4 linked regions of the Saccharomyces cerevisiae S288C genome follow. The gene in region 3 interacts genetically with the main gene of each other region. Each region holds a gene or a part of one and is shown on either strand. Other genes may lie near its edges.

Region 1 (8,901 bases), on a different chromosome or scaffold from region 3:
CATGTCTATTTCTCATGGAACCCTTCAAATCAAATATTCTTGTTGTTTTCTTCTCATAAAATAAGTTCTCCATAATGATAACGTCCATTTTATAACTTTTGGAACTTGAAATAGAGCTTTTTACTTGAATTTGATAAAACCCAAATACTTTAGCCAAAGTCGTGGGCAAATCATGGAACATTGCTTGTGCCATGTATTCAAAATAACTTGGTGCAAATTTTATGAAGGCTTCCAGTTCTGCGTGTGACAGCTCCTTTATAATAAATCTATCATCCAAAGTCTTTAAAAACCCGCTCCCACTTTTCCCCCCATTGGAATCCCATTTAACACATCTTGACAAACTTTGAATGAAGTTTTCTTGACAATCACAAATCTTTCTAAACACGTCAAAATGTTCTGTGAAGAAAATTTTACATGACATTACCGTTAAACCCTCCTCAAATTGATATCTCAAGTGTGTGGCTGTTTTTTTTGTCATAATTTTCTCTAATTCTTGAAGAGTATCTAAATTTGCTTGGGAATGCGTTTGTGATTCTTGTGGGGTCCTATCTCGGGCGCCTTCAATGGGAGGGGTGTTCAACAAGCCCTCTTTGGTGGTTACTAAGGATGAAATTTCTGAGTCCCTCCCCTTATTATGAGAAGTTGTAGAAACTGAGGGAGAAATGTTAACAGAAGGATCCCCGGTTTGCGTAGTTCCTCCACTGTTTCCTCCTGTTTTGGCAGGAGCAGCTTCTGCTGTTTGCTGCTGCTGTTGTTGCTGGACATTCAAGTTCATCATTTTATTTCTATAGTCAGAAGTACTTAAGCAAAATGCGATCAAGGAACTTGGTTCATCTTCGCGGATTATAACGTCACTATCAGTAAAAATGTGTTCCGAAGGACAGGTTGGATAAACAAGGGGTTTCCACAAATACGCAGATCGATCTGCCCAAAAGTTGCTCAAGGTTTTCATCAATAATGATTTTTCAGGTTGTGGAGTGGATTCTACCTTATTGACAGTTGTTGTTGTTATTACAGGTGGAAGCGGCTCCGACTTTGAATTATCTGATTCTCTAACTATTGACTTTGGATTTTCTGAAGTTTCCTTTACTACTGGCTTAGAATTTAAATGAGTACTTGCGGTGGTCTTTCCAGAGGGGTTCAAAATGTTTTCTCCCCATTGGCTAATGGAATTTTCTAATTCAGTTTCCAAGTTTTGATCTAAATTAGGAGGATTACAATTATTGGCCCGGGAATGTTCTCCCACAGGTGCCTCCAAAGTCTTAACATTCGCAGATGACAAATTATTGCCTGAACTTCTAGAGTGAAGCGGTTCATCAACTGCGTCTTTGACATTTTTATAAATTTCCACAATTGGTGTGGATGTTTGTAATCGTATGGCTTGGTATTTATCCTTATTAAGTTGTAATCTTTCCCTTTCACGTTCCAGTTCAAATTCTTTCGACAGGGCATCAAAATGCATTTGATCGAAAAATGTAGCTAGCTTACTCACCTTATTATTTTTACTATATTCATTAGCAAGTGATGCTAGTCCACATAAACTACTATCACTACTCATTTTTCTTATGTTAGGTCTAGTGCTTTTATCATGAGTCATAGATATACCTGTTCCACTTCTGCTTATTGGCGGACGTTCTTCGGTTTGAGGGGTCAAAGAAGAAGAAACCGACGATGCAGAAGGTGTAACTGTCAAGTGACTAGTACCACTTGTTGGAATAATTGGAGTGTCGTCTTTAAAAGTGGTTATCGTCACGGCATTCTGTGGTTCGTTCGTTCTGTCACGATTCTCTGTCGTATTCTTGCTATCAATTTTCGGCTTTTCGACATCTTTCAATCCCTCTAACGGTAATTCGTTCTTTTCTGGTTTCCTCGTCTTCGCCTTTTCATCATGAAGTGATTTTTTGTCTTCGCTGTCTTTTCTTGAAGAATCGTAAAACAGTTTTTTCAGCTGCTTGGCCGTGATACGACTAATATCAGTTTCAGAAGGCAAATAGCTTTTTGCAAATATCGCAAATGTAGAGTTCCAATTTACAGCCTTATCGTATAGAGATTTGATAACCAGGTTCAATGGTAAATGTTGATCGCAAGGACTATCTGCGTAAAAAGTATCCAGGTCTTGCAACATTAATTTTTGCTCCTCTGTAGCATTGCTCTTCAATTCGATAATTTTAGCTTGTCCACTAAGAACTTTATCTTTAGTCATACTATCCAATTTAATACGTTCCAACCGACTTAGGACACTCCCATAGAAATTATTGATCTTTTCCAGAATCTTATAGTATAGTTCCACCTTCAGTTTGATGTCGATATGAGGTTTCCATTTTATTTTGCGTGGTGGGGTTATCAATTCATGAACTTCTAAATCAGAATATTCTAGTCGAACCACTAAATCATTGTAACCAAAGTATTTGACATGATCTTTAGTGAAATCATGAGGACATTTCCCAATTCCTGTCACGCTATCTTTGTAACTCCAAAACATGACTTCTAAATATTTACCGAAAGAATGATTCCAGGTTTTTTCGCTAATTTGTAAAATCGGAGTAGATGTCCCACATTTTTTACAATAACTCCACGTGAGGATAATATCTTTTAATTTTGGTAATCTAGTTTGGAATTTTTCGATTAAAACGTCTACTTTTCCTGACCCATGAACATAGCTTCTATAATGATCCAAATACAGACCATTACAGCCTTGTTGGCAGGGATACCTGGCAGTTCCCACGACGTTCTCGATAAACTGACCAATGGAAATATCACTGTCCCAAAAATAGTCAATAGTAACAATTTGAGGGCCAACGCAAGGTGTGGCAGTCTTTGTTGAAACCATTGAGTAGAGAACTGTTATAGACTGGTGTGAGCCCGTACCAAGTAAGTTCTGTGATGATGAATATGAAACCTCCCATTGACGACTTCTCTTCTGAAACTCAAGCTCTAAATTTTCAATTTCCATTTCATGCAGGAATTTTATTAAATTTCCTAAGTGTTTCTTAGTGATAGTCGATTCTAAGCCTTGAAGCATATTTAGTTGCGTTTGCCGATCTAAATCAGATTCGCTTTCATATTGATTGATCCTTTCTATGAGCTTCTTTTCCAAGCCTCTGGCTTTTTCCAATAAAAAGGGAATGGGGAAATCTACCGTTGGTGATACAGTCAAAATCCTGTTATTGAATTTGATCAAGAAATCTGCAAAATAACCTTCGAAAACTTGCAGTTTTTTGGATTCAGCTCTCTTCAAATAAACATCTGTAGAAAGTTGTATGAAATTATCGTTAAAAAATGAACTTTCCAACTTCAATGAAAAAATTGCGTAGACCATAAATTCAGAGACTTGTTTGATTTTTCTCAAGTTTTCAAGACTATCACCTCTTAACAAAATTGTTCCACCAAGTTCTGGGTTACAGCCCCGAAGAAATGTATATGTTTTACTGATGTTTCCATAAATGTAGCTTTTAACTTCAAAAGTTTCACATTCACCCATCTTAATATTCGTAGCCAACTTATCCACAGAAATGGCAATATCTGCTTCTGTTAGCTTGGCAATTCTTTCAATGACTTGTGGTTTCATATTAAACTGTACGACAATGCCTGAGTCATTTAATAGTTCTAACGCGTACCCACTAACATTGGCGCCGACGTATATAATATCAGGATGTAATGACTTTAATCTCGAAACAAGTTTATCCAAATATTCGCGCTCTTGCCTAAAGACGGACTCTATACTTAGAAAGTGGTTATTGTTCTTTTGGTACTCCAGTGGAAACATGATTAATAGTATCCTTGGGTTTTTCAAATGCCGTGGCATTGTTTTCGACGGCAATGCTTTCGAAAAGACAACCCCGTCGATATATTCTGAATTTTGAGGAGATCCACCACTAATTCTTTTTATCTTAACGTAAGTTTGTCTAAAATCTAATGTGTTCAAATCCCTCGCGTTCAGGATGGTCCTTAAAACTTTACGCAAAGCGCCATCTAGAAGGGTTATCCATTCTTGAAGATTGGAAATTTCTTGATCATTCAATAATTGTTTTAATAGGGCATGCATATGTAAAAGAGAGACTTCATTTAATTCTCTCTTTTTTTCCTTTTTCAGTTTGAATCCCGATATACTAGCGATTCTCTTCCAAGGATCGGTGTTGATATTGCTATTACTATTGCTATTATTATTGCTGCCACTGCTATTGCTGAATTTTCTGTCAGTGAGTCTGCTTGCAGCGGATGAAGAGGCCTTGTCTTGCAAAGGAGAAGAATCGTCGTATAGATTATCGTCGCTTACTACAGAAAGTAAATTGGGAGTACTATTGGTCAAGAAATTTAAGTCTCTATAAATGGAACTTTTCGAATTGTTGGGAAAATGCTTGCTTTTACTTTTCCTTCTAAACCTCATCCGCTGTAGTGAAGCTTGCGCTCGTTGAAAAGATTTTGTGGAGTTCCTCATTGATCTAATTGGATTGTCAGTTTTATGGTCATCATTCAATACAGAATATATGGACATGGAACCTTCGTCCTCAGAAGAGTCTTCCTCGTTTAGAGGATATTCTAGGTAAGCGGACGTAGATTTAGATTTTGTCAGTGGGTTTCTTTTCTTCTTATCTAGAGTGAACGTCGTGCCATTGTCGTTTGAGGGAATGTTATTGTTGTCAGCAATACCGCTGGCACTGTTATTATTATTATTATTATTATTATTATTATTATTATTATTATTATCATTATTTCCATTTGCCGTGTCATTTTGTTGCGAAGGACCTTTGGAATTGTAGTTGAATTTAAACTTGTAATTTCTATGAGCATAATTCCCGATAATACGATTGGCAGGATCCAGTATGGAAGAAGACTGTGCAGACGAAGCGGGTGTTGCAGAGCTATTGTTACTGTCCTTGTTAACACTATTGCTGCTTACATAATGGAAAATAGACCTTCTTAAGGAATGCGCAGGATTATTGATGTTGCTGTTGCTATTGGTATTGTTATAGTTGCTGTTGTTGGAAGTAGTGTTGTTGAGGTTGTTGATGGTAATAGTGCTGTTATTGGTGTTATAATGTGGCCTCAAAGTGGAATTAGAGTTGGTATCGTAATGTGATATATTGTCCATATCTCTGATAGTGTACCTTGTGGGCACGGAATCGAGGTGATGATGGCGACCGGGGTTGTCATCTTGATAATGCAAAGCCCTATCGTTTTCCGAATCGAATGAGATTTCCAGCGATCCGCCTTGCTTTGTTGCTGGGATGGCCATCTTCGGTGGTGGTGGGGGTGTAGAAATGAACAATTTAGAATCTTCACCTGAGGTCATTATACTTTGTACGTCATCGTCATTTAATAGGTAGACCTCATTCTGCTGTTGAGGGTTATCCGTTGCTGCTACTGGATCATGGAGATCGGTACCGTTATGGTTGTCCTGTGAAATGAGATGCAAATGCGAATGTGAATGAGAATATGGATTGGTATTGGAAGAACGAGAGCGAGAGCGAGACCTTGGCTCATTCAATTGCATTGTAGAATCATTCTCTTCATCACTGGAGTCCTCGTATGTGTCTGCATGCTCATAACAATTGTAACATACTCGCATCTTGGCATGACAGCCGAATCGATCACCATCTATCAAGAGAGTGCAACTGCTGCAAAAAATTTGGCCGCATATCCTGCAGTGGTGTTTCCTTCTGAAAGTGTTAAACGTTTTACCACAACTGAAACATTCTTTAGAACTCTCGTCCTTCATCCAATATTCCTTTGAGAGGACACCATTGTTACTGGTCTTGTCCTTCTTGCGGTTGTTATAAAATGCGAACAGGAAACTCTTGGACAGGGATGCGGTCAACGAAGAAGAGGCACTCTTTATCGAAGACACTTCATCGCCAACGTCGTCATGATCGCTGTCAGGAGTGCGCGCATAGGAATTCTGCATGGAAATTGGCCGATTGTTCCTAATGGGGATAGCAGTAACAGTGGATTTGGAGGCATATATGCTAGATCGTTTAAAGTTGGAGTCGTTCTTAATGGGCAGCTGCAGCGAGTGAGAAGGCTTATAGCGACTCGGATATCTCTTGATGGTGCTAGAGGGTATCCTCCCACTAGTTGTTGGCGGCAAATTTTTCTTATTCACGCTGGTACTAGTGTTAGCATTAGCTTTAATGTTCGAATGCGACGCAGTGCCGGTCACGTGACTTGTTGATGTCGCTGTTGCTATCGAGGATGATGTGGGGGGGCTTATTTTTGGCACGGAGATATTGCTCAGAATTGGGTTTGTCACTAGATCCGTCGTAGTCGACGTCGTAGATGTCGACATAATGTGCAGGGACGGTTTCTTAATATAGTTCGGTCTGGATAAGGTAGCATCGATTGTGTTCACAGATGAAGTACCAGTGGAGGACGACCGGACATGTGAGCCATCTGGAAAGGATATAGATGCATGGGGTTCTTCCGATGACATGCTGTGTGACGGTCTTGCATGTACAGGATGGAAGCTACCTTGCTATTCGAAATAGTTTTTTGTTTGGCCCTTTATTTACTTTCCATATGGTTTTCGCGTTCGTCAAGAAGTACATTGCGTTTGCGTTGCCTTCGAGGCGAGACGAAGGAAGGAACATAAGAATATAAGAAGCAAAGGAATAAGACGGCTTGTGATACATTTCATGGGAAGAAGAGGGGGAGAGGGAGAGTTAGAGAGAGTCAACAGAAAAGAAATAAAAAGACTGAAAAGGTCGTAAGCATGGGAATGAAGTACGTATTGCCTTTGCGACTAATTGGTCTAGCGTACCTGTTGGTGCTATTTCAGGTGCATAGGGTAACTGGGTGGGAGTTGTCATATGAGCAGTACCATGCAGCGCATCTGAACGAAGCTATCAACCCAGACAGCGGTTGGAACAAAAGTACCAAGAACCTGCTGTTGCCTTTTAACAGAACGCGCGTACCCGGATCGGAAGGCTCGCGCGAGATCCAGCGCTTCATCATCGAGCACTTCAACAATACGCTGGCGGGAGAATGGGCCGTTGAGACGCAAGCCTTTGAGGAGAACGGTTACCGCTTCAATAACCTTGTTATGACATTACAAAACAATGCGAGCGAGTACTTAGTGCTCGCTGCTCATTATGATACCAAGATAGCGCCCACGGGGATGGTGGGCGCTATCGACAGTGCCGCCTCGTGTGCCGCGCTGCTATATACGGCCCAGTTCCTAACGCACATCGCGTGCCACGAGCGCACGAAAGAGTACAATGACTTAGAGTCGAACACTGTAGTATCGAATTCTACCTTGGGTGTAAAGATCGTATTCTTTGATGGAGAGGAGGCCATTGAAGAGTGGGGCCCCGAGGACTCGATTTATGGAGCACGCCGATTAGCCGCCCAATGGCTTGCTGACGGCACGATGACAAGAATTCGCCTATTATTTCTTCTGGATCTTTTAGGAAGTGGCGAAGAGGAGCCGCTAGTGCCCAGCTACTATGCAGAGACACATCAAGAATATCAGCTGCTCAATCGAATAGAGGATGACTTGTTATTTCGACGTGGAGATGAAATCAACGGCGAATCGGCATTAGCCGCCGAAGTCGCGCGTCAACGCAAACATCTGGACCCCACGGACTATCGATTTTTAGGGCTCGGGCATTCGGTCATCGGAGACGACCACACGCCATTCCTGGCCGCCGGAGTACCCGTATTACATGCAATCCCGCTACCATTCCCAAGTACATGGCACACCGTGGATGATGACTTCCGGCACTTAGACGCCGCGGAGACTCGTCACTGGGCGCTGCTTGTGTGCGAATTTGTAGTACAGTCACTACGCTCCCGTAACCAGTGATAAATCCCCTGTTTCCTTTCGTTAACATCTCCCCCTGATCTGGGGGATGTGGGGTGGAATGAGTGGCCCGGTCAATGTCAGTGCACCACTCTGAAAAGCTTGCACACATACATATACATATATATATATATATATGTAGGTATAGTAAAGGTTTGCCTGAGTAATTTTTGCGCGAGAGATCTACTATCAGCAGCGATGAGAGCAGCTACATAACACATAGTAAATCACACATCTACGCAACACACACACACACGCATACACTCACCCTCATGACAGATCCCCACTTGAACACGCCCCAAGTGAGCACGTCACCCACATTTGAAAGATCACAGGACTTCCTCAACATCGACGAACCGCCCTGTGCACAGGAAACACCTAGTGTTTCTACATTCAACCTCCCGGGTCCAAGCGCTCCCGCTCAAAGCGTAGACAAGCCAGTCCCCATGATTAGACGGCGGTCTACCAATTATATGGACGCACTAAATTCCAGGGAACAAGCCCGGGAACGCGAAAGCAGTATCGGGGAGCACGCCCCGGGAGCCGAACGTAGGAGTAGCGGACCCATGGATTTCCAGAATACTATCCACAATATGCAATACAGGACCACTAACGACTCTGACCTGAGCCACGCTGGCGTGGATATGGGTGACTCCATCTCCCATACACCGATCTGTTCTCGTGCTGGCAACAGACCCATTTTCAAAAACTCGTACCTTGACAACAACAGCAATGGTAACAGCGCAAGAGTCCCACACGGCTCTCCTCCACAGTTGGGCACGCGTAGAAAGTCGTCTTTTAAGTACGAGGACTTTAAGAAGGACATCTATAACCAGCTTCACATGTTTGGAGAGAAGTAAAGCCTCCCTAGTGTCGTCCACACCTACCCACTCATACATATGTACGTAACGTCAATCTCTTTAGCTTCTTTTCTACATTTTTTTGTATATGTACCAAAACGTTGCGCATATTCTTCACTCATTTGCTCCCGTGGCTCGGCGGCTATTTTTCTTTTCCTACGGAGCGGACTGTGGTGCTTACGTGATAACAAACAACCCGAGACAAGATCCAATCATTGTCTGACTGGTATTCCTGCCACCATA
Region 2 (8,093 bases), on a different chromosome or scaffold from region 3:
ATAGCGACGATGAAAATGGATTCCACAGATCTGATCTTATTGCCATTAAAAGGGGCCTCGTATGAGTATAGAGGGAGCCCAGTCTTCATTGATGAAAAATACGCAAACTTTGATCACATTTATTCTCATCTCCTAGGTCTGAATGAACTATCATCTACTTTCTTCAAGTCTATTTTCCAGTCACTCAAGGCAAATTTTGCCGTTCAAATTTCAAATACCTATGGCAGATTAAATGCTGATCGCTTTAAGAGGAAACGGTTCAATTTATTACTTCCAAAACCATACCTGACACAATCCGATTATCTTGGACTATATCTTCTCTTATTGATATGCTATAGAGATGGCTATAATAATGATAATGCATCCTGTAGTATATTTATTAACAGCAAGAATATTGATTTCGCAAAAGATTTGTCAACTGCATTTGCTGAGCATGACTGGCTAAACGAATCTACCATTAAAATTGTGGATATCCCCTTTGAAACGAAAGTTCCAGAAGAAGCAATTGAAAAGCCGTCCTTTATAGAGACTGTGCTTGATGTTGGTTTATCAGATACTGCTTTAGCTGATATAGAGGAGACTACCTTTATTATTGGAGAGGACCTTCCTGATGAAAGTGAGCCCTTCAGCGAAGAGGTGAGGACTGTAATATTTGAAGGGTCGAATCGTCGTTTTGACACCCTTATTGTGCACCATTTTTCGTCTGAATAAGTATCAGCAGAAATTTTTTAATTTTCTTTGTTCTTAATTTTCAGTCATTCCGTCATTCCGTCATCTATGTTTATTGTTCTATATTATTACGTATGCATAAATATCTTAAGTATAGATCGATCCTAATAGCTATTCAGTTTTATTCTCCTGAGAGGTTATCCTTAATTTTGAAGAGTTTAACTTATCATTTGACTTTATAAACTTCGCGAGTCTGGTAGATTTGAAATTGAATGTTTCATTTACTTCACTAAAAGGATGAGAAAGAAGCTCGTTAGCGGTTGGCCTTTTCTCTGGATTTATCTCGAAGCATGCGTCCAGAAAATTTCGTCCGATTTGCGATATCAATGGTAAAGTGTCCTCAGGAATTGGTGGTGCCGATTTTGACTTTCCAATTTTGAACATGGCTGCGACGACTTCTAAGTTGGACCACGGGCGCTTACCAGCAAACATTTCCAGAACGATGCATCCCAGAGACCATATATCAACTTTTGCACTGTAGCCTTGCTTTGTATCAACCATTTCAGGAGCCATCCAGAAGACTGTTCCTCGCATGGTCATATCCGAATTAGAGTATATGTCCTTTGATTTTCTTGAAATTCCGAAGTCACTGATTTTGCAGATACCATCTTGATCCAAAAGTAAGTTGTCTGCCTTCATATCCCTGTGGAGAATACCTTTCGAGTGTAGGTATGCCAATCCTTTTAATACTTGTGTTGTTAAATGTTTGATCAACGGTTCATCGAATCTTCCATACATTCTAATCAAGGATCCCACGGAGCCACCAGCAACATATTCTAAAAACAAACTGTAAATATTGTTTTTATTCTCAAAACCTAAGTATTGAACAATATTAAGATGATCTAAATCTTTTAACGTGGACACTTCAGATCTTAATGCTTCCACGGTACTTAGAATGGCTTCATTTTGTGAGCTATACTTGGGGACCTCAACCTGCTTAACGGCCATCATCTCACCTGTAGTAACGTTTAAACATAAATAAACAGCACCGAAAGATCCCTTCCCTATCATTTCACCCTTCATCCAGGCGAATTCCTTATACTCACCTTTCGAATTTTTGGCTTTATTAATTGACACCATATGGTTTTCGGTCACTTCGACCATTCTTGTACCCCACATTTTGGTGTTCTGTCTTTTTAGTTTTACAGAGTTTTTTCTTGCTAAACTAGCTTCATGTGCAATGGTTCTTATGGTTTTTGTTCTTTTAGGTGTCTTAGCTTGATTCAATGGTTTATTTTTACCGTTAAGTCCATCCTGTATGAACTCGTATGAGCTATCAGGAGGGACGGGACGGGAAGGAGTGCTTGGCTCAGTTCTCGATGAAGCCACATTCTTTGGTGAAAGTAGGCTGTCTAAGGATTTCGGAGATGTTGGTGAAGCTATTCCTTCAGTGATTGGCTTATCTAAGTTAGCCCTTGGGAAGAATTTCTCTAAATTTTGATAAACGACCTCCGGAGATGGTCTAAAGGTCATCTTTCTCTCCATTTTGTCCTGCGTTTGAGAATCATAGAATATTTCGTCAGAATGCGTAGAACTGTTATCGCTTTTCTCATCCTTTTTGTTTTCATTATTAGTCTCAGGAGCTGTTTTTTTCTTGGACCAGATAATGTCATCGGATGAACTAGAATCGTCATCACTATCATCGCTGTCAAACATCGGCGGAGCATCCGCGAATGTTATGTCATTCTCTTCAAATATATCGGCCGCAGATGTCGACGAAACAACTCTTTTTGAGTTACCTCTTTTTAACAATGGTGAAGGAGAATAGAAAATTGAATTTGAAGTCGATACAGTTGAATTTGAGCGATTCACTTTCTGTTTCATTTTCAAAGATGGGGAAGTACTCGTCGAGTCCTGGTCTGTTTTCAACCTACGCATAACATCGTTTGCACCCTTATAAGGTTGCGGTATCAAAACATGAGTCGAAGCAGGAGTATATGAGGAAGTAAGCGAATCAGGAGACGAGCTGCTAGCTTCTATAGGAGATGATAATAATTGTGGCGGCAATGGTTTCGATCTTTTGCTTCTCGAAATTTTTGTACTTGCCCTCACTAGGCGGATCGGTTTATTCTGTTTAGAAGTTGATAAGGTCCTCTGAGGAGAAGTATTTGCGGGAGGCTTGGGAGCTTCTCTTTTTGGTGCCAGTTCTGGTTTTGTATAAGGCGATTCCCTACGATGATTGAAATCAATTTCAGTCCCCTCATCTTTTCTTAGCACTTGAAAACTACTCTTGCTTTCATTTTCTGTTATGGGGGTAGGAATATTTAATTTACTTCCTTTATCTGGTAGGTTGAGTTCTAATTTTGGACTTGTTTTAAAAACCATTTTTGGTGCATTTTCCTCATGAGAAAGAACTTCTTTAATATTCCAATAATTCAATTCTTCAGTTGGATTAGTATTGGAAACTCTGTCATAGTAATAACTCGGGGTTTGGGGGTACCTGCGCCCACTTCCTGATGCATGTTCATCAAATGATGTTATGTCAGAAGACGAAGTGACAATGGAAACATCATCTGTCGATGCTATCAGACTGCTTGTTCCGGACCTCATTGAACTCTTACTTTTCACCGATTTTAAAGGAACATTGTTTTCTGAGGTGAGAGGAGCAGGTTTCGGTTTTTGTTGAAGCTTCATTTGGTCTTTGATATAAATTTTTCCAGAAGTGTTCAAAAACAAGCTTTTTTTCAAAAATTCCAAAGTATCATCTGGAATTGCAGCACCAATATCGCAATCAAAGTCTGTCATATGGAAAGTGACATTTTTGTGATTGATTCCCAATTTTGTGAGAGCAGATTCTTTGAAACTGGATAATTTTGCTACACTTTTTAAGTTTAGCGGAACAAAACTAACATTATCTTTGGTAACCAGAATATATTTATTCTCACTATCATTTAACCCTGTTTTCTTCAGAGGATAAAATTTTTGGTCCAGTAAAAAGTTCTTTACACTATACTTTTGATTATTTACCGGCACTGGAACTGTCTTGTCTGGATTAATACAATCAGGATACGTTTCTTTAAAAGACGCCGTGGTTGAAGAAATTTTAGGTGTATCTTCTGTGCTGATGACCTCCAAACTTCTGTTTGCAGTTTTGGGTATTGGCGGTGGTGATGAAGATGGAGATGGTATATTTACATCTGCCGTTTGTACGGTTAAGGTAGCAGTACTCGAATTCGATTTTAAGGATGGAGTTTCTTGAGACGTTACATAAGCTACCGTATTTGGGCTAGGAACCCCTATTTGGCTCTTTCTTTTGAATTTATTCCATAAATTACCTTTATCATCCGAAGTGGGTAGTGAAGATTGTTTTAAAGGTGAAGACACATTAGTTTCATAGTGTTTAGATTTTCCTTTAGCTAAATTTTCACTAGACAGACTATGACCTTGTGGATTAGGCTTTGTTGGAGCTTCCTCGCCTATTCCACTACCAAAAAGGGAATTTAATAATGACGACTCAGATGAACTACTTTTGTGATGTCTTCTAAATATGCTAGGATACGAAGGAGATGCAGGTGGGCTCGCCGATTTGGTAAGTGTACTGTTAGATTCAATAATTGAGTGCGGCCGAGCCGGTATACTTAACTTGATGTTTGAAGGTGATTTTGCTGAGGAAGCATTGCTCGATGATGAGCCTCTTAGGGATATAAAACTTCTTCTGTATAGTGAACTTGCGCTTTTGGTTTTTTGGTGTGTTGAAGTAGAATGTAAAAAATTCTTTTCATCGGTCTTGGAAGGGCCCGATTTTGTTGGGCTCAATGCAGATTCTGACGTTGATCTAGAATTTGAAATATCCTCTTGCGATTTACTATTTTTTAATTTTGATTTGATCGATTCGCTGGAAGACCTGGAACTTTTAAGTTTGCTAGCGCTCTTCTGACGAATATGGCTATTTGTTACGTTCTTGGTCATTGTTTTTTTCAATAACTGCTGAAACCTGGTATATGAAGCAGTTTTAGTCTGCGGCAAATACTTTTCATAAACAGCGAAATTATCATATGCAAGCAACTTTATAAATCTGTGACCAAACAATTGATGCTTTTTGAAAAACAATATCCAGGATTCTGGAAAATCATGAAATTTAAACCATGAGGTGACGCGATGCATTGTCCATTCATCAGGGTCTGTAGGATCCCACGATAGAATTAGCTTGTCAAAGGACAAACTATTTACGCTATTGCCACCGGAGGATTTCCTCGAATCAGAGAGGCTACTAGGTCCATTGTCATTTTTATAAGAACTGTTTGTAAAGCTCGTTGGGTTTTCAAGCGTTCCAGCTGAGATGTGGTCATCTGTCGTCCAATTAAAGGATTGTTCGATAACTGGCGTGCTTTCGTAAAACTGAGAAGAGGTAGAGTTGGGGGTTAGGTTGGGAAATTGGCTTCTAATATCATCATAAATGCTTTTGCGAGATGTTGCACGAGGGCTTTTGCTTGAACTTTTGGTTGATGCTACCGAACTAGTCGGCTGATGGCCGAATTTCACAGATGAGTTCGAATCAGACCTAGAATGTGTATGTGCTGTCCCCGCTATTTTCCTCAAAAAGGGCATTTGGAGGTGGAGTTGAACTATTTTAATACTATATTTAGTGTTTCGTACTAATGGTCACCCCTCTGCCCTTGTTTTTTTATTTTTTTTTTTGGTGAATCCATTACCTGATTTTATTATTATGCTTACTTTTAATTAACTTGTTGAAATTTCATAGCATTATAACTTAGAAGACGCGTCGGTCTGGAATTGAATGGCCATTGGGGCCGAAGAAAGTGTGTCAAATTTTATTGTTATTTACATGATTTTATACGTATGCGTATATGTACATATCCCTAAAATTCAGTTCATACTCAGTTCTGATATTCTTAAGATTGTCAAATCACCTTTACTCTTTGCATGACGGACCCGTCTATTTCTTCTCTTCGTTACCTCCCTAGTTTGGAAAGCCCTTTTAGTTTTCCCAACAACGGTTGCTTTTAAAGTATACAGAGAAGTATTGATTGGATGACCAACTAGCTTGTAGTTTCTAGATCCTAAAGTTGTTACATCGGTCATGTTTAAAATGTCACCCACCTCCGCTTGCTTCAATTTGAATGGAAGAATAACTCTGTCGCCCTCGGTCACCAAATATGGACGATTATGAATCTTGAATATTGCATATAGTTCATTTGATAATTTTAGTGGAGTTGTATCTGTCTTAGTAGTCTTAGCTTTTGTACTACTGATGCTTGAGGAAGTAGCTAAATTTCTGAATGGATGACTGGTAAATGGCCTATAAATAGGTGTGATTCTGGCCACTGGCCATATGAATTTCAGTTGTAGCATGAAAATTAGAGCAACACACTTAAGATTGTCTCGGCACAGTTGTTTCAGTAGGCTGTGAAGGTCGACTCCGAGTGAGCTTCGACATCTTTCTAAGAGTTCTCTAATTCGGCTACCCTTCGCAATTTTGCTCAATATAAAGCCCGTGCACCGCAAGATACTAGTGATTATGGTTAAGAGCGTTGAAGCCATTTCAATGTGAAGGCTAATATTCTTATAAAAAATACAGAAGAATTTATCTAAAGAATTCAAATTAGTTTCTTCCCGAAAGAGGATCTTAAACTTTTCATGACTTTCTTTCTCTGTGCTACCATGTGTAGGAAGAGCATTGGGAAGCCTGGGATATAAGCGAGCATGGCCGCTATTAAAATTCTTTTGTAAAGTAAAGAATACTGAGATTCAGCTGCATTTAAAGCACAGTAAATAATGCGTAGTTCGCTGGCAACACCAGTGGGGTACAAAATCCAGAACAAATTATATCTTAATAGAATTAAGATCTTTGGTGCGCCATTCTTGAATACCAACATGAAAAAATAATACAAGTATCTGACGATCTCAGTTATAGACCATGCCAGTAATAATGATATGTAAACAACTGATTGAACACCACTTGTGTTTGGCAACAATTGGAAGATGCCGAGGACAACTAGTAGTCTTGAAGACACTTGTGCAACAGTGGTCAGCAATGGGGAACGTACAACTCCTAAAAATGAGTTTATGATCTCGATTATAGCACCACATTGAACAAGGGTAGCGACATTTTTAGTTTGGTAGAAGAATGCTGGCTGTCCAACTTTTGGGTACAAGGAGATGACCAAGTAAAGCAAATAAGACCAACCAACAGCAGAAAGCAAATTATAAAGGGGTAAGAAGGACAATGGTGACGCAAGTTTTTTTGACATATTGTAGAAATTGCTTGGAGTTGTGCTTCTTCTTGTGTGATGATGAGTTATTTTGTATTTTGGATGCTCTTGATGGACCAATTCTGAGTTCGAATAAATTCAACAGAATTTCGAAAAAAAGTACACGAAAAAGAAAACGCCTTTTTCCTTTTTGAATACTAAACAATCGAAGTAAGTTATCAAACGGGCAAAGTCGCAATAAGGCACTAGACAGCATATGTAGTCCAAACGATTGTGAGTTAGGAAATACATGTGTTATTGTATAATTATTATTCTTATTATTATTGTTATTAATATTAGAATTATTAGAATTATTTAATTAGTATTATTTCCTAGTCCCTGTAATGCTCTGAATTAAATTTTACAACGCCCATTAATCGCGCCTGTTCTTCTTCATCCCATGATATCTTGTCCTTACTTTTGGATCTACACAATGCATATGCGGCGGAATCAGCATAATCCAAACTGTCTTCGTCTTCACAGTTATCATACTCTTCATCACTGTCATCGCTCAGTTCATCGTATTCATCTATGTCGTAGTCATGGCCTTCCGCGCTTAATATTTCGTCTTTATGACCTCCAAATTCATCGGTGGGGCTATGAAGTTCAAACTGGTGTTGAAACATAGGTGAATTCATGCCATTTTTTGATGGAGAAGCACGCTTGGGTATAGAATTAGAAGGTGATGACTCCCAGCCGTCACTAAGTTCATTGCTAAATTGAAATACACTTTCTTCCTTAGCATTAACTGTATTATTTGGTATTGTTTCAGATTTGCATGCATCCGTAAAACTTCGCTTAAGCTTCAATGGTATCTTATGATCGCGATTCACTTCACCTGGAACTTGTTCCGTGGCGTCAGAATCAGGATTGAAGTTTAATCTTGTTTTTGTACCATCTTCGTTAACGTACTCATAGTAAAGCTGCTCTTGGTCACGTTTGCCTTCTGATGAATTCGATTCTTTGCTTCTAACGGAATCACCATTACGATATTCTTGGGGTTCATCTTCATCAAAGCTGACATACCCTTCTCCTTCATCCTCTTCCTCCTCTTGACACCGTACATTGTCCATTTGCATTATGTCATTAATGTAGTCATCGACTGTACCCATAGTGCGCTCTCCCTTGTCGTATACAGCATCCTCTTCTTCA
Region 3 (6,024 bases):
ATTAGACACTTTCATTTATGCCGTCTGGGATTGTTCATTTTTATATGAATTCGATGAATTAGAAAATGCTTTGATGCAAGACTGTGGTACGTTTTCTGAATTGTCTCAAAAACTATCTTCGTTCGATTTTTCATGTATATTTGGATCCACCACAAATCCTCGCTTTCAGACAAAATATAAGTGCTCTTTAGAGTGCTTGCAAGATTTGGTTAATTTTATGTTGAACACAAACGAGAAATTAAGAAAGTTAACTGCTCCTTATCTTTCTGCAAGAATTGCCCTTGCTCTTAGAAGATATATCTCAGATGAATACTTGATTGGGCGAGCACCAATACCAAAATTGCGTAAAACAGAACTAGCTACTCTATTAAATGGGCTATGCGTGATTTTAAGAGGTGTTCTAGATCAAAATTCGACCCTTGGCAACAAACAAATTGGAGTTGAAAACCTACAAACATTAAGTCCGTTGATTTTAAGAACCATCCCAGTATCTCATAAAATGGATGGCCTCCAAGATAAAGTTTTGGAATTATCACTTGGATTTACGAAACTAGACTAGAAGCTGAAGCATGGACGAATATTTTTAAAAATCACGTAGGATAAATAGTAATATTAAACGACATTGGATTGATTATTGTATCGTTGCAGGTCTTTTTTTATTTACTTTAAAAAAAAAACTTTTAAGGTGAACGTATTTATATATTATGCCATTGGTATGCATAGCTAAAAGAAAAGAAATACATAAGATTGTAGTATGTATGATATGCTTATAGAAATAGTTGTGTGCTTCATTCCTTCCACTCCAACAGTGATGTCAAATCCTTTGGATCACATGCCATATTGAAAAAACCGTGGTGTAAAAGCTCTTCGGTTGATGCCCTATATCTAACATCTACGCAAAGGCAAACGCTTAGAAAGCGTTTAATTTCTAAAGACAAACTTTCTGGATGCTTGAGCTTTGGTGTACCATTAGTTGCAATTAAGTACAACGCCTTTAGTGGATCTTCATTTAAATATGGTGGTTCACCCTCCAGCATTTCAATGGTCATGATACCCAAAGACCATACGTCAATCTTTTCATCGTATTCACGTTGTTTGACAACTTCAGGTGCCATCCAGTAAGGTGTCCCAACCATAGTGGCTCTTTTGCTTCTTTTATCAGTTAATCTGGCGCAAAACCCAAAATCGGTAATTTTCACCCTAGCTCTAGTGTCCAGCAAGACATTATCTGATTTAATATCCCTATGAATGATATGCTTGTCGTGTAGAAATTTCAAGCCTTGGCAAGTTTCTCGTACGATATATGCAATTTGGGGTTCTGTTAGTGGTGAATGTGAATTATCGTTGGTGGGACTATTCTCGATAATGTCTGTTAGTGAACCTCCTTCCATAAACTCCATCACAACCCATAGGTCATCGTCTGTTCTCAAATAAGCCTCGAGAAAATTGACGATATTTTTATGACGTGAATCCTTCATAACCAAAATTTCATTCACTATGAGTTCTTTACGAGGTTGTTTAGATAAGACCATTTGCTTGATAGCAACTTTATCTCCTACGTGCGGCTCATCAATATCATTGTTTATGAGTTCGATCATATTACTTTCTGTCGGAATATGCGTCCTCTCTGCAAGGTAGACGGACCCACTTGCACCTTGACCGGCCTTCTCGATCACTTTAAAGCATTGAGATGGATCCGCATTTACGGTGACTTTCTTCAGCTTACTCATTATTTCTGCAGTTGACATGGTAGGCCTTGCTGGCTTCTTCGGTTTGGCCACACCACCCGGTTGTGCGACATCTGCATCCGGTCTCTTTGGGGCCTGCCTCATTGTTTGTGGGGTTGACTGGTCATTCTTAGGTGCAACAGGCTGTACATGTGTGTTACTAGTAGCATTTTGATTTGATGGGTATGGCGCCCTTGGAGCTGATATTGGTGGCTTTGGAGCTGTTCTTTGAGGTTGAAAGTGTGCGGCTGTAGGACTTGAGTTTTGTGCATAACGTGGAATTGCTTGGTTTTGGGTCGACTGTGAACTTAATGGCGATTGAGGTTGTTTGGAATAAGGATTTATCATATTGTGATGTGGCCTATAAGGGTTTAATGGAGACGGAGATGGGGATGGAGATGGAGATGGTCCTTGATGGTGGTATGGATATTGTTGATGCTGTTGTTTTTGTTGCTGCTGCTGCTGCTGCTGCTGCTGCAAAGATCGTTGAGAATTGTTTGGATGCATAGGTCCCCTAGGAAATTGGCCATTGGTTGGGGAGTGTCCGTTTCTCATCTTAGGATATTGTTGGTTGGGAACATTTTGTAAGTGTCTTGGAATATTTGACTGACTAGTGGGCAATTTTGTATTTATTGGTGGCAGTGAGCCGCTTCCTAGAGAAACAGGCGATTTGGTATTTGGTGGTTGTGAGGTTTTCCTCTGTGATACCATACTTGAAGAAACGCCTGAAGATGACTTTGAATTTACTGAATTATTTCTGAGTTTGTTATCATTATAGCTGTTTGGCAGCGATTTTTGAGAGGAGGAAGTTTCACCACTTTGAGGCTTGTCTAAAGTATTTGTGGGATTTCCGGCTCCATTATACTCTTGATAAAACTGCAACACTTGAATGACAGCCGCAGAATTATTGTTCCAATCTTCTCCTGTAATTCTGGAGTGCTTTAATAATTTTTCCCAGTTGGTGGGCATACCAACAAAACTACCTGTTTCTGGATCAAAACCAACGTGAACTTTATGTGTGAAGTTTGTTGGAGAAGATACACCACTTAATAATGGACATTTAGCAAAAATGGCGTCTAACCAACTATGCAAATCGCTTTCTGTCTTTGTAGCAATGTATATTGATTTTTTGGAGTTACTGTCTGATGATACATTCAAAGAGGACGAGGATCCTGATGATACAGAATTTCGGTCACTGCAGCGCACCAACTCAAAACAATATTGTTTCAACTGTGTCCTGCTTACACTTATAATACTAGTTAGTGGTATCTTCAAGATCGCATCGTCATTTTGTTTATCGTTCTTGTAAAGGGCTACATACGAATCGTGTAGCATCAGGTATCTCTTTTGCCATATAAATGAAAGTATACCGTCATCTTTGTAGGACACCCACCCGCTTTTTTTTTTGGAGGTACTTGTACCTAAATGGGACGCTGATGTTAAATCCAGTTGACTCATAAGTTTGGTTATAGGTTGCGTTTGATTATAGCAAGTACGGCCCTGGCTATTTGAACTGGGAGGTCTAGGTGCCGGTCCGATATTTTGGAAATCGTTGTCAGATATCTTATTCGCTGCAGCTGAAAGAGACATATTTTGCACTATTTCTTTTATGTTTCAGTTTCACTGTTCGATTTATTACACCAAAGAAACCACCAGGAATGAATGATAGCAAAAGATGCAATGGTTTTCAGTAGCGCAGTACGTTCGATCGAAATAAAGGACTTAAGGTTTTGATCTTATTAGCAGCAGAAGCAAATAACTGGCAACGCTAATACATGTACAAGGCTCAGGCTAGAAGGTTCTTTCAAATTATGTGTCTCGAATCAGACTCTCCTGCACGTTCCATACTATGTTTCTATCATGCCAGAGATGAAAAATTTCGTCATCTTACCGGCTCGAGAAAATTTCCATATCGGGAAACTATCCTTTTTTGGTGGCTCTATATTTCCGGAAAGGGAAAATACCCACGCGTTTGATATCATTAGCTTATTGTTTCACTTGGACATCGATGTGGTATTCTTGTATAAATAGTAAATAGTCTATAAGAGTCTATATTGTGTTAAAGAGCCTGGCCTTTAGAGAGCCAGTAGTCCCTTCTCGTTTGAGCATCTACTGTCTTAGTTTCCAGTGGTGATTTCTCATCTTGTCCCGAAGGGGTATCTCTTCCTTTTTGATCTTGATCGGATTCTTGATCATTCTCAGAAAGTCCCATCAAGTCATCTATGCTGAGGTTGTTTTGGTGTAGGAGAGAGCCCTGATCAGTTTTTTTCACTTTGCGTTTCAATTTGCTTCTGCTCACTCCAAAATCCGGAGGTGGAGATGGAATGGCACTCTTTTTGATTTCCCCTTCTCTCTTATCCTTTTTTGCCTTCTGTTTCTTCTTTGCAGGTTCGTCAAGTTTGTAGATCTCCTCTACTGGCAAGTCTTCGGTGTCGTTTATAAATAAATCTTCTTGAACTATCCTCGTGCGCCTCTTGTGGTAGCGCTCGTTTTCAATGATGGCTTTATTCTGCACTAAATCTCTTTCGTCGTTGAAATCTCTCTTTTGCCCACGGTATTTGATCACGTTTCCGAGTATACTTTTTCCAACGCGGTCTTTGAATGTAGCAGAATTCAATTCCCAGCATTTATTGACCAACAGTTCGAAGGCACCAGCAAAGGCCTTTTTTATATCCTTCATATTAAAGGAGCCTCTGCTTATATTATTGTTAGGATCACCAGGATCTTGAATAGCTAGCGAGAATTTACTCCTTGAAGGTTCCAAAGTTCTCCAACACGATTTAGGAATATAAGAGGCGTAACCATCAGATATGCTTATAGCAACGTCATCATAACCAAAATTTTTTCCGTAAAGTTCGAAGAAGTCAATCAGTAGAACACCCAGGTTATCTAGAACGTCGATATCGTTTGATTTTATTCGCGGATGCATATTTAAAAAAGAATAAACCAAACAGATTACTGTGAAACCTCCCAATCCTCCTGTGTGCACATTGTTCAATCGTCTTGAATGCAAAAATTGTTTTATTATCAGTACCAGTTCACGTAACCCTGGAGAGTCTCTTAGCCATTCCCTGATGAGTTTTGCAGCCTCTAACCCGTTCGTTCTTTCAAATGAAACGTCGATATGTAACTGTGATTGGGGCTCTATGAATTTGATAATAGGCACTCGCGTTTTAACAATAACCTCCATTCTTATAGCTAGCCCTTTGTTTTTCAAATGTCTCGCCAATTCATAAATGTAATTTCTGTCCTCTTTATCGCGATTCCGGCTGTTTACGACACAGTCAATGTCAGAACCCGGCAAATATAAATCGGTGGCAAAAGAACCAAACACATGCAAATCTGCATCCGACCACAGTTCCTTGACCGCCCGGCGTAGTTTATCGATCGTTCTATTTCTGCACTTGATTTCGTTCTTGCTTGGAGAGATATAATGAACGAAATCTTTGATTTCTGAAGTTAGCCAATCTGCTATTCTCCTTTGTTTCGAATGACAATGATTTCTTATCCAAGGATACTCCACATTGCAAGCGCTTTCAGTGTTCAGAGATTGCTGTGAAGTAAGCTTAGAAACTTCATGTTCATCGGTCAACAGAAAACTGCTTCTTTCATCATCATCTTCCTTTATTTGTTCTGTTTCATCTTCAGAGCTGTCCGAAAAAGCAATAAAATCTTGATTATCTTCGAGAGAATTGTTTCTTTTGCTAGATTCTGCCCTTTGTTCATCTTCACTTGATGTGACTTCTTCTATTACAGGTATGTCGACATCACTTTTATCATTTTCCATTAAGACTAGGTTTCCGAAAGTGTCATCGTCTTCAACGTCGATAGCGAGGCTCTCGTACTTGTTAAAATGCGAGCGATTATCGTTAAATACTTCAAGCATTTTTTGCGTTCTTGTGAAGGATGATTTACGCATACGTTTTGTATGTTTATCTTCTTTTCTTTTACCTTTTGTAGGTGAATATTTTGCTTTGAGCCTTGTCATGACGACCCAATAAACTCCGCCCTCGTTTGTTTATTTGAAAAATAAAAAATGATACGCTAGTGAAACGAACCAGCTTAACCTTGTGAACTGTTATTACAGATGTTTGCTTTCATCAAGTATCGCTTTATTACCTTTTTACAACTTTTTTTTTTTTAACTGCGATGAGATGAGATGCCTGGAAATTTGCGGGGGGTAACCACAAGAAAATAAATGTAACATATCGTTGAATTAGTATGTAGTTATGAGTTTATACAATGGTCTAGTAAGGTGCCTTCTGCGTCCTTATCGAAAGGAACTTTAGGAGAATGA
Region 4 (8,803 bases), on a different chromosome or scaffold from region 3:
GCTGATGTACTTTATTCAAATGAAATACAATTCTTTTCAAAGTTTGGTAATAGCATGTAGGTAACTTTTGGAGTAACTCATTCATCATTCTCTTGTATTCTTCATTTACCATTGCATGTGCTTTATACTTAATCGCCAAATCGGTAAAGTCGTTCACCATAGCATGAGAAAATAAAGAATCTGGTAACTCTCTTAAATACATCTTAAAACAGCCTGCGATCGCATTCACTTCAAACCATCTATCGTCCTCTAATGTAAAGGAATTATCTGTTGCACCTTCTTCGTCAAATGCGTTCTTTAGTGCATTTATACTGCCGATGGAACCAGGAATTCTGTACAATCCCACTTCATCTAGCCCACGCAGCTCAATCTCTTCCAGCAATTTCACAACAATTGTAGGTATCAAGGTATTCTCTCTTTCACAAACGTCTTCTAATGGTACCCCAAATATCTTATTATGAGTTTTACCTTTATATTTTTTCGAATGGAATGAAAATCTCTTGGAAGCCTTGATCATTTTTATCCATTCTGTGAGGTCACTAGAACTAGCCGTTTGAATCAGATATTCATGGCCATTTTGCATAACTATCTTGAACGCATAGTAGTAAGCCGGAATGTTTCTGTGATTGATTATTTCCATTATTGACTTGATTTCAAAGGTCTTCAAACTATAACTAGGTTTTAAGTCGTGTAGTTGCATGGAATCAACCTCTGGAAGTATACTTGGTAGAATGGATTTGTTACTTGAAACTTCTTGCGATAATATACTGTTGAGTGAATAATTAGAACTGGATGTGTTGAATCCACCGATTGAAAATGGTCTTCTGAAAAATCCACCTATTTTTTTACTAACACCATTATGGCTGGAATTTGACACTACTGATGATCTATTTGTGGAAAAGGAGGCCCTTGAATCTCTTCTATTCCTTGCTGAATTATTGCTTTCCATAACACTACCTAGAGAAGGCGTTTGACCGGTGTTCTTATTGATATTATAGCTATGATCGTTGTCACTATGAGTACCTGAGATAATAACAGACTTCCTATTCTTTTTCGGAACGGCCTGATGTAAAGCAGCAGAGTTCTTCAAGATCTTTTCTTGATCGAGTAAAACCTCTAATTTTCTGGCTTCCCTCTTTATTTTTTCAATTTCATTGACTAGTATTTCATTAAATACTCCCTGCTCTTGAAATCTCTCCGATATGGCTTCTGATTCTGATACTTTTTTAGTCTTCTTTCTGTATACTTTATTAACATCTTCAAAATTATTGAACAGAATGCGGCCAAATGTAGTTCTTTTCGAAGGATTTTCGTCACTCATTTCAATATCAAGTGGAAACTCCCTTTCGTTCGGAATTAAATCCAAGACATTAGATATTATGTTGTTAACAAATCTCCTTTTGTCAAAATTAATAAGTTTCGAATTAGTGATACTCATGTTAGGGACAAACTGAGATATTTCTAGTAACCTTGAAATGAACCAACCAGGGCAGGGGCATAAATTCTTGCAGTTTTTGCTGAATACATCATCAATCTCAATGAATCTCTTTATATGTATGTCATCTATCTTCTCTAAAACGTTACTAATCGATCTTAGATTTTGGGTTCCTTTAGTAGGGTCCGAAAGTTTTTCAGAAGCTTTGATCCACGAAAGTTCATAGTTTCTAGACTCTGGTGATATTATGGCATGCGCAATAGCAGTTTCAATAAAAGCTGGAATGTGTGGACAAATAGCATGAGGACTTTCATCCTCCTCTGAATCAAATAAATCCAAACTTCCGTTTTTCCAGCGGATGTAGTTCAAAATTTGTAATATAACTTTACAAGTAGTTAACCTTTCACTACTGCTTTTGTTGACGTTTGAAATTTCCATCACGAAAAACGTAGTTAGACTCGTGTGTAACTTTATTAACAATTTTATAGATTGTGGTAGTTTTTCAAAAAAAAGACTCTCCGTACCATTATCATCCTTAAGAATCAATGTAGAAATCCAAGTAAAAAGATTGGAAATTTCAAACTCGTGCAATTGCAAATATCCGGGGTTTATCAATTTGCTTGACTTAAAATGTAGCGGATAATTGAAAAAAGAGACCAGAGATTCCTTTGAAAGCAATTCCAACTCCTGGAAAAGAACTATCCAATCTTTCTTAGAAACTAAATTGAACTTCTTAGAAATAAAGTTATCTAACTGGTAGATCCATTCTAGTATATCTTCGTAATTGGTTGAGTGTAACTTTTGAAAAGATCTAATCATGTCATCGCTAAAGGAAGGATCATCAATGATGTTGTTAAGATCTGTAAAAGAGAATGTGTTAAAGGAATTCAAAATGTCAGTTATTCTCTTCTGAGTTCTATTGACACCAATAGGTCTGTATAGTTGCTTTTGGTATGCTGATTTAATACCATGAAATAGATCAGTTAACGTAGTCAACAAATTTTCTGTTTCAATCACAAAATTTTCTGGTAGGCTTTTTTGTAACTTTGAGTTTGCAATTCGCGTAGGCCATTCAGTGGATACTTCTTGTTCCATTATTTTTATAATATCCAATAGAGTAGAGTTGTTACATAAATCGTCAGTAAAGTCAGAGTAATGATTTTTCACTAAATGTAGTATAGCTTCCGCGGCGCCGATTTGGATTTTTGCCATATAAATAAGGTTTATGTTTTCATCGTCAGTTACTTTCATATCCCAAACAGGAAAATTTTGGTCGTATAATGAAGAGGACACTAAATTTGTATCCTCATTTATCTTCATTTTAGAATCATCACTGCGATCTAAAATCTTGGAAATTGACACGCTGCAACTCTTTGCACCAACATACCGTTTTGCCATATTTTCTAATACCGTAGTTGTAGTAGTAAAGCTTTTATAAGTGTTGAAGAATGTTTCTGTGAAAATATCATTGTCCATAGTTAGTTTAACGAATGCATAATCTAGTAGTCCTATGTTATCATCGGAAAGCCCTCTGGTAGAATGACCCCTTTGTCTTTGATGATAGTAATAATTCTCAAGGTCTTTAGTGTCTACCAATTTTGAAAAGATATTTGAAGTTAATACCAGTAAATCAAAAATCTTTTCTAGCGACGACGATTTCAATACGACACGAATAATCGATTCTTTTAGTGAATCTGATACTTGACCAATATTGTTGAAAAAGTCCATATTTTCTAATGTCTTACTTAGTCTTCCAGTGGTATCCAAGGAATCTCTCATCTTTTGGTTTGGAGTAGCTGGATTATTAATAAGCATGGAAGAGTGTTGTGAGAATCTCTTTGGTGTTTCTATGACCATACTAGCAGGACGGGATTTACCATCATTATCGTATACCGATTTAAATACTAACTCATCTGATATATGAAACACATCCATGTCAATATTAAAAACATCTCTCACAGATTTTAATAGTCTCTGTTTATTTGATTGTTTTGACGACATCTCTTTGATCACAGGTCCGTCAATTTTTCCAACACCTGTAACTTTATTATTATCATTTTTTGAGGACATAGCATCATCTGTTAATGAGCCCATAGTGTGACTGTTTGAAGCTATTGGAATTGGTTCACTGATTGAAAGTGATTTTGAGAGGCGCGCGGATGATCTTGGAGGCGGCAACTTCGCATCACTGGCAGCACCCACTAATGTATTCTTAGGAAATAGTGAATAATTTGGGAATAGTTCATTGAATAAAATGGGTAAATAACTTCCAGTTACTAAAGCACTCCTTTGAGAACCAATAGTAGAATACGCTTTCTGGTCGATTATTGGAGGTTCGTGTTGGACACTTAATTTCATTATTCCTTCAATGTTCAACGGAGGTTGTGATAAATGAAATTTCCAGAGCTGATAAACAACGTTATTAGGAGAATCATTATCCCTGACGTTTTCTGTCGAATTAGTTTTATGTCTCGTAGAGTCGATTGCTTGTAATCTTTGTTGCCATTTATGAAAAGCGTTTTTTGTTCTGTTAATTTTCTTTTCCAAGTACTTGAATTTCGTATCAGATGGTAAATCATCAGCATGAATTAATAAATCGCCAAAATAAGAAATCACGTTAGCTCTCGTAAAGTCGTCATCCAGATTTGGAGGAGCGAGTATGAAAACACTACTTGTAGATTTAGATGTCCTTTGTCGCCTCTCTAACTGAATAATGGTAGGAACCCAATCTTTAAAAATAGTTTTCAATGACTGATCAGGAACATATTTCCATGAAGATGACCTTAGTACAGGAATTGAACAAATGATAGTGGCGACAGCTAGCCATGATACCATGTCTCCTAAATGTTCAAATCTACAGCCAATTTGGACCCATTTATCTAATAACTCAGCTCTCACTTTTGGAGTCACTTTTTTACTAAACTCAGGATTTGTTGGAAATAAATGTGATATTAGTAGCCTTCCAAGAAAATGGATATTTTGGTCGTTGTTGAATACCAATGGATTTAACGAGACAATTCTTCGATTAATAAACTTCGAATCATACAGCAGAGAATAGTCAAATTTCGGTGCCCATACTTTATCAAACTTTAAATTGATATGATGAACTTCATCAGCCAATGTTGTAATGTCTAAAGACAGGAAATGACTTGGATCCAATATAATCTCTAATTCATGTGTAGATGATGTTGCCATTGGAAGAGATCGAGTGAATGCGGTAAGTTTCATTAATTCGTTATGTTTATTGGCGATTTTAATTTTCAAATTGTTGGAAATTTCATCGTTATGCAAAGATATAGTATCTAATAAGGAAATTATAGTCTTCAGCATTGGTTCATCCAGCAAAAATCCCGGAAATACATCAAGGATTGTTTTAGCAGTTAAAGCTAATCTTTGAGTCATGGAGTCATCGACAGCAGGGGATATGTTGTAGAATTGTGTGGAATTATTTGTCAATCTTGATTTATTCTTGGTAAAAGAAAGACCGAATTGGTTGAATACCTTTAGAAACTTAATGAAATGATCTAGTAATGGAAACATCAATAACAGATTAATAACAGCTCTATGTGTCTTAGATAATGATTTCTCATTAGGTACGTCCGATTGCTTTGGACCGGGGTAAAATAAGACTGTGTGACATAAACTTTCTATTGTGCCTGATATAATTTTACCATCACTGTCTTGTCTTAAATCTGGGTGCGGGTAAACTTCAGATAAATACTTCAGGTCCAGTGTAATAGGTTCACCCATTTGGCCAAATGATTGCTTTTGGTGCAGAGCTTCCGCTTGTGCTTGGTTGTTTGTTTGTTGTTTTTTCTGTTGATGGTTTTCATTTGCTATACTACTATTTGAAGCTGGTAAAGTTGGATCAAAAAACTTAATGTTACTATTCAAACCACTTTTGTAAAGGTTGAGAACGCAACCTTTCAATTGAGCCCTATAAAGACGGTAATCAGGTACTAGCATTTGAGGATCTATAGCCATGCTGCTTCTTGCTGAGGCCACATCATTGCCACTGTTAGTGGCCGTAGTACTACTGCTGTCATCATTTTTTAAAGACGAACCGTCGTTCCCATAAAACCTGCTTTCCCTGTTTCTAGAATACGCATCATTACGGAGATTCTGAGAGGAGGACGAAGAGGAAGAGGAAGGGGCTGTCATTGAGCTATTATAGTTTGTAGCAACAGTCTGGCCATGGGACTTATTAACCCATCCAGTCTTAAAAACAGTTGTATCATAGTTTTCAGAGTTTAAGTGGATAACATTTCTTTGCTTTTGCTCGTTATCGTTGTTATTATTGCTATTGTTATTATTAGTGCCGCTACTGTTACTGATACCTGAAGTGTTCAACGATTTCTCTAGCGTAGTTCCAGTGCTACATCGAGACTGAGGAGGTGATAAAGACGAGGAACGTGAAGGCAACAATGAGTCTTTCGAATGGGCACTCTTCTTGTACGCAATGGGAGTCTCATCCTGGGCATTGGACTTCTGGCTAGAAGAATTGCTTATTTCATCTTCGGAGCAGACAGACGGAGAATCGTCTTTTAGCGTAGAGGCTATGCTTCTAGAAGATCTGGTGTTAGTATCCGAATGATACATCCCCAAGTTCACCTGACTGGAACTAGTGGATGTGTACTGCTTGGAGGGTGGAAATACGGAGCTTTTTCTCTTATCTCTGTTGTTGTCTTCCCCTCTGTGGTGACTGTGTCCCTGGCCATGGTGATGGTGGGAATGCATGTATGGAGAAGCACCGCTTGTCGAGTTTCGAATAGTTTGAGAGGATGATGACGGCGACGACGACGATGCTGTAGACGCAGTAGTTGTCTTATGAGACGTGGAAGTTGAGCTTGAACTAGCACTGGCCGTTGAAGATTTCCTGTTCTTAGACCAGAGAAGACCTTTCATTAGACTCCTGCTTCGTTATTTGTTTTTTTTGTGTCTATCCAGAAAAGGCACGACGACCGTGTGTTCTTTTAAACTGAAACGTTTGCTTGTTTGTTCTGTTGGAAAAAATGGGACTGATCTGCAGTCTCCTAACCAAAGAGGGAAAAAAAAGAAAGAAAATTGCGTATAGCGGGAACGGGAGAATACGAAATCTGTATATTAAAAATGAAAAAGAATGTTTGAGTTAGCAGACAGTACCAGTGGCTGCAACGTAGCTTGCTTCTTTTGTTTTTGTTTTTTGTGCAACAAGAGCCGTCTGATATCTTGTGTTCTCAGGTCATTTTCAAGAGCGTGTTTCACCGAGGGGAATATGTTTCAGGATTCGCGGCGGGAAGATTTTTGCTTGCATTAAAGATTTACTTACTATACAGAATAAATAGTGGAATTGTTAAATATTATTAAATAGATAAGGGACCTGACTGAGCGCTCGCTCCCGACTAGGCCAAAGACATCTTAGCCAGCTCATATACAGCCTCTTTGGACTTGGCACCTCCAATGAAACCTGCTGCATGAATGAAGATACATCCTGGCACACCGCTCTTGGTGCTCAGCTCTTCGTCTCTGAGGCCTCTTAATGGCTCCGGCAAACCTCTCCTAAACTGGAAGGAGGTGGAGTTGATTGGTACAGTAGATACCCTCCAGGCACCAGAAGAGTCTGTGAAGAGAACAAACTCGATTTGCTTTTCAATGTTCTTCTCTCTTTCCAGCTCGTATAGATGCTCCTTCCATGGACAGAATTGGGGCAAGACAATGATTTTGCCACTCTTATCAACATCCATTCTTTCATCAATGGCTTGCGCCACAAGGGCCTTGGCTGGCAACCACGATTGACCGTAGCCTCTTACCAATGTGACAAAGACCCCACCGATAAACTCACTTGCGCGAGCAAAGCATCTGTCAAAAGACTCATCGGAAGTGTCTTCGTTCCAGTTAGGATTCATACCTGAAATAATCCCGGGAATGCTGATGGCGTTATCCCTGAAATTCGGTTCCAAGTTGGAATCCTTAGGAATCGTGTACTTGCTAATACCGTTGTCGTTTGCATCCAGTGCCTCGACAAATTGTTTGTATACCTTGTCATAGAGCAGATCTAAATCAGAGCTGCTAACCTTGTTGTTCAAAATTGTTTTGATAATGTCACGACCGTAGTGTTTGAAGATCAGACCAGCACTTGAGAGCTTAGTCTTGTATTTCTCGTTGAAAGTTTCGAAAAATCCACGCTGGTGGTGGTCAAAAAATTTCACGCCGTCATACTGAGCTCCTACATCCACTAGAATGTCACTAGCCTCCCAGTCCTTGGGATTTCTTGATCTAACCAACTTAGCATCTTTAAATTCGGGTAGTAGCCTTAACATGTATACCGCCAACGACTCGTCCGCGTGAAAAGATCCGGAATGCGTGCATATTTGTTTGGACATTTTTGAATTTAGCTTTACTCTTTTTACGCTATTCATGCAGACTTTTTGGGCTGGGCTCTTCAATTCCACAGCTTTTCGATAGTATTAACACATCATTACTTTCTACGTTGACAGAAAATTTTCGTGATTTGCCGTTCCCATCGCTCGAAAAGAAAGTGAAAAACTGAAAAAAATAATAGAGATTTATCAATGAATACAGTAATCCAAAGACGAGAGAAGAGCAGGAAAATTCGTACTTATATTGCAACTTAATGGTGGGCTCAGATTTTTCGATGCTCTGCCTCGTAACTCTAAGTATCAGCTGCGGATGGATCATAAGTAGTATTAATATAGAATATAGAGGCGCAAATTGAGGTTACCCTGTATAACGGCAGTCGTTGCGTCCATTGTTATGTAAAGTCTTGGCTTTATAGACACACAATAAATACTCCCAGCATGAATTGTTTTACCCAATATTGCACGAATTATCGACACATCCAAAGATGGCGAGAAGTAGAAAGAATTCATTGGTTCGAGATATTGCGTCTCATCCGACTATACCAGAATCTCAGACCATAGTGGGTTTACTGGACGATTCGTACCTTTTTGATAAGCTAAAAAAGCTATCTTTGGCTGTGGAAAATTCTGACAGTCTGCAAAGAACTGATGTCTCAGAAGGTTGTTCAGAGGTTAATGGTTCTGAAGCTACGACTTCTGCGGATGTAAAAAAGACAAACAAGTATTTGTATTATACTACCTATTTGGACCAGTTAAACATTAAGATAGACGAGTATAAAGTTGTTCTGGATCAAACACGCCAGGTTAACGATCAATTGGATAGTTCCATCAAGAAATTTCGGAAAATCTCTCAGGATACTGGAGCTTTCATTGAGGAAACGAAGACGATCTATGAAAAGCAGTCTAAATTAAGCAATCTAACTGAGTCAATCCCTAAAGCTCTCCATTATTTTGAAGTTTTAGACCCTATAATGCGTCGCTTGAACCATGCCACTTCTCCCGCTATTGT

Evidence for each region.
Region 1: mutations in CLA4 (region 3) and FAB1 together harm fitness more than expected from each alone (negative genetic interaction), as found in Saccharomyces cerevisiae (5 studies listed by BioGRID, with this or other methods).
Region 2: mutations in CLA4 (region 3) and BCK1 together harm fitness more than expected from each alone (negative genetic interaction), as found in Saccharomyces cerevisiae (9 studies listed by BioGRID, with this or other methods).
Region 4: mutations in CLA4 (region 3) and BEM2 together harm fitness more than expected from each alone (negative genetic interaction), as found in Saccharomyces cerevisiae (5 studies listed by BioGRID, with this or other methods).

The regions. Positions count from the first base shown.
Region 1 is NC_001138.5:182,031-190,931, reverse strand, and holds the start of FAB1 (1-phosphatidylinositol-3-phosphate 5-kinase), read right to left. Parts: upstream 6,431-8,901; coding exon 1-6,430. Other genes in the region: YFR018C (uncharacterized protein), read left to right, coding at 6,710-7,801; IGD1 (Igd1p), read left to right, coding at 8,071-8,658. UniProt on the Saccharomyces cerevisiae protein: The PI(3,5)P2 regulatory complex regulates both the synthesis and turnover of phosphatidylinositol 3,5-bisphosphate (PtdIns(3,5)P2).
Region 2 is NC_001142.9:244,439-252,531, reverse strand, and holds BCK1 (mitogen-activated protein kinase kinase kinase BCK1), read right to left. Parts: upstream 5,278-8,093; coding exon 841-5,277; downstream 1-840. Other genes in the region: KHA1 (Kha1p), read left to right, coding at 1-711; mitochondrial 54S ribosomal protein bL21m MRPL49, read right to left, coding at 5,557-6,042; enoyl-CoA hydratase PHS1, read right to left, coding at 6,288-6,941; SAP185 (Sap185p), read right to left, coding at 7,274-8,093. UniProt on the Saccharomyces cerevisiae protein: Serine/threonine protein kinase involved in a signal transduction pathway that plays a role in yeast cell morphogenesis and cell growth. This pathway seems to start by SMP3; then involve the kinase PKC1 that may act on this kinase.
Region 3 is NC_001146.8:66,208-72,231, reverse strand, and holds CLA4 (serine/threonine protein kinase CLA4), read right to left. Parts: upstream 3,318-6,024; coding exon 789-3,317; downstream 1-788. Other genes in the region: MON2 (Mon2p), read left to right, coding at 1-559; non-canonical poly(A) polymerase TRF5, read right to left, coding at 3,787-5,715. UniProt on the Saccharomyces cerevisiae protein: Involved in budding and cytokinesis.
Region 4 is NC_001137.3:476,509-485,311, forward strand, and holds the start of BEM2 (GTPase-activating protein BEM2), read right to left. Parts: upstream 6,341-8,803; coding exon 1-6,340. Other genes in the region: MYG1 (Myg1p), read right to left, coding at 6,817-7,833; Golgi transport complex subunit COG3, read left to right, coding at 8,280-8,803. UniProt on the Saccharomyces cerevisiae protein: GTPase-activating protein (GAP) for RHO1 and RHO2. Involved in the control of cellular morphogenesis. Required for proper bud site selection and bud emergence.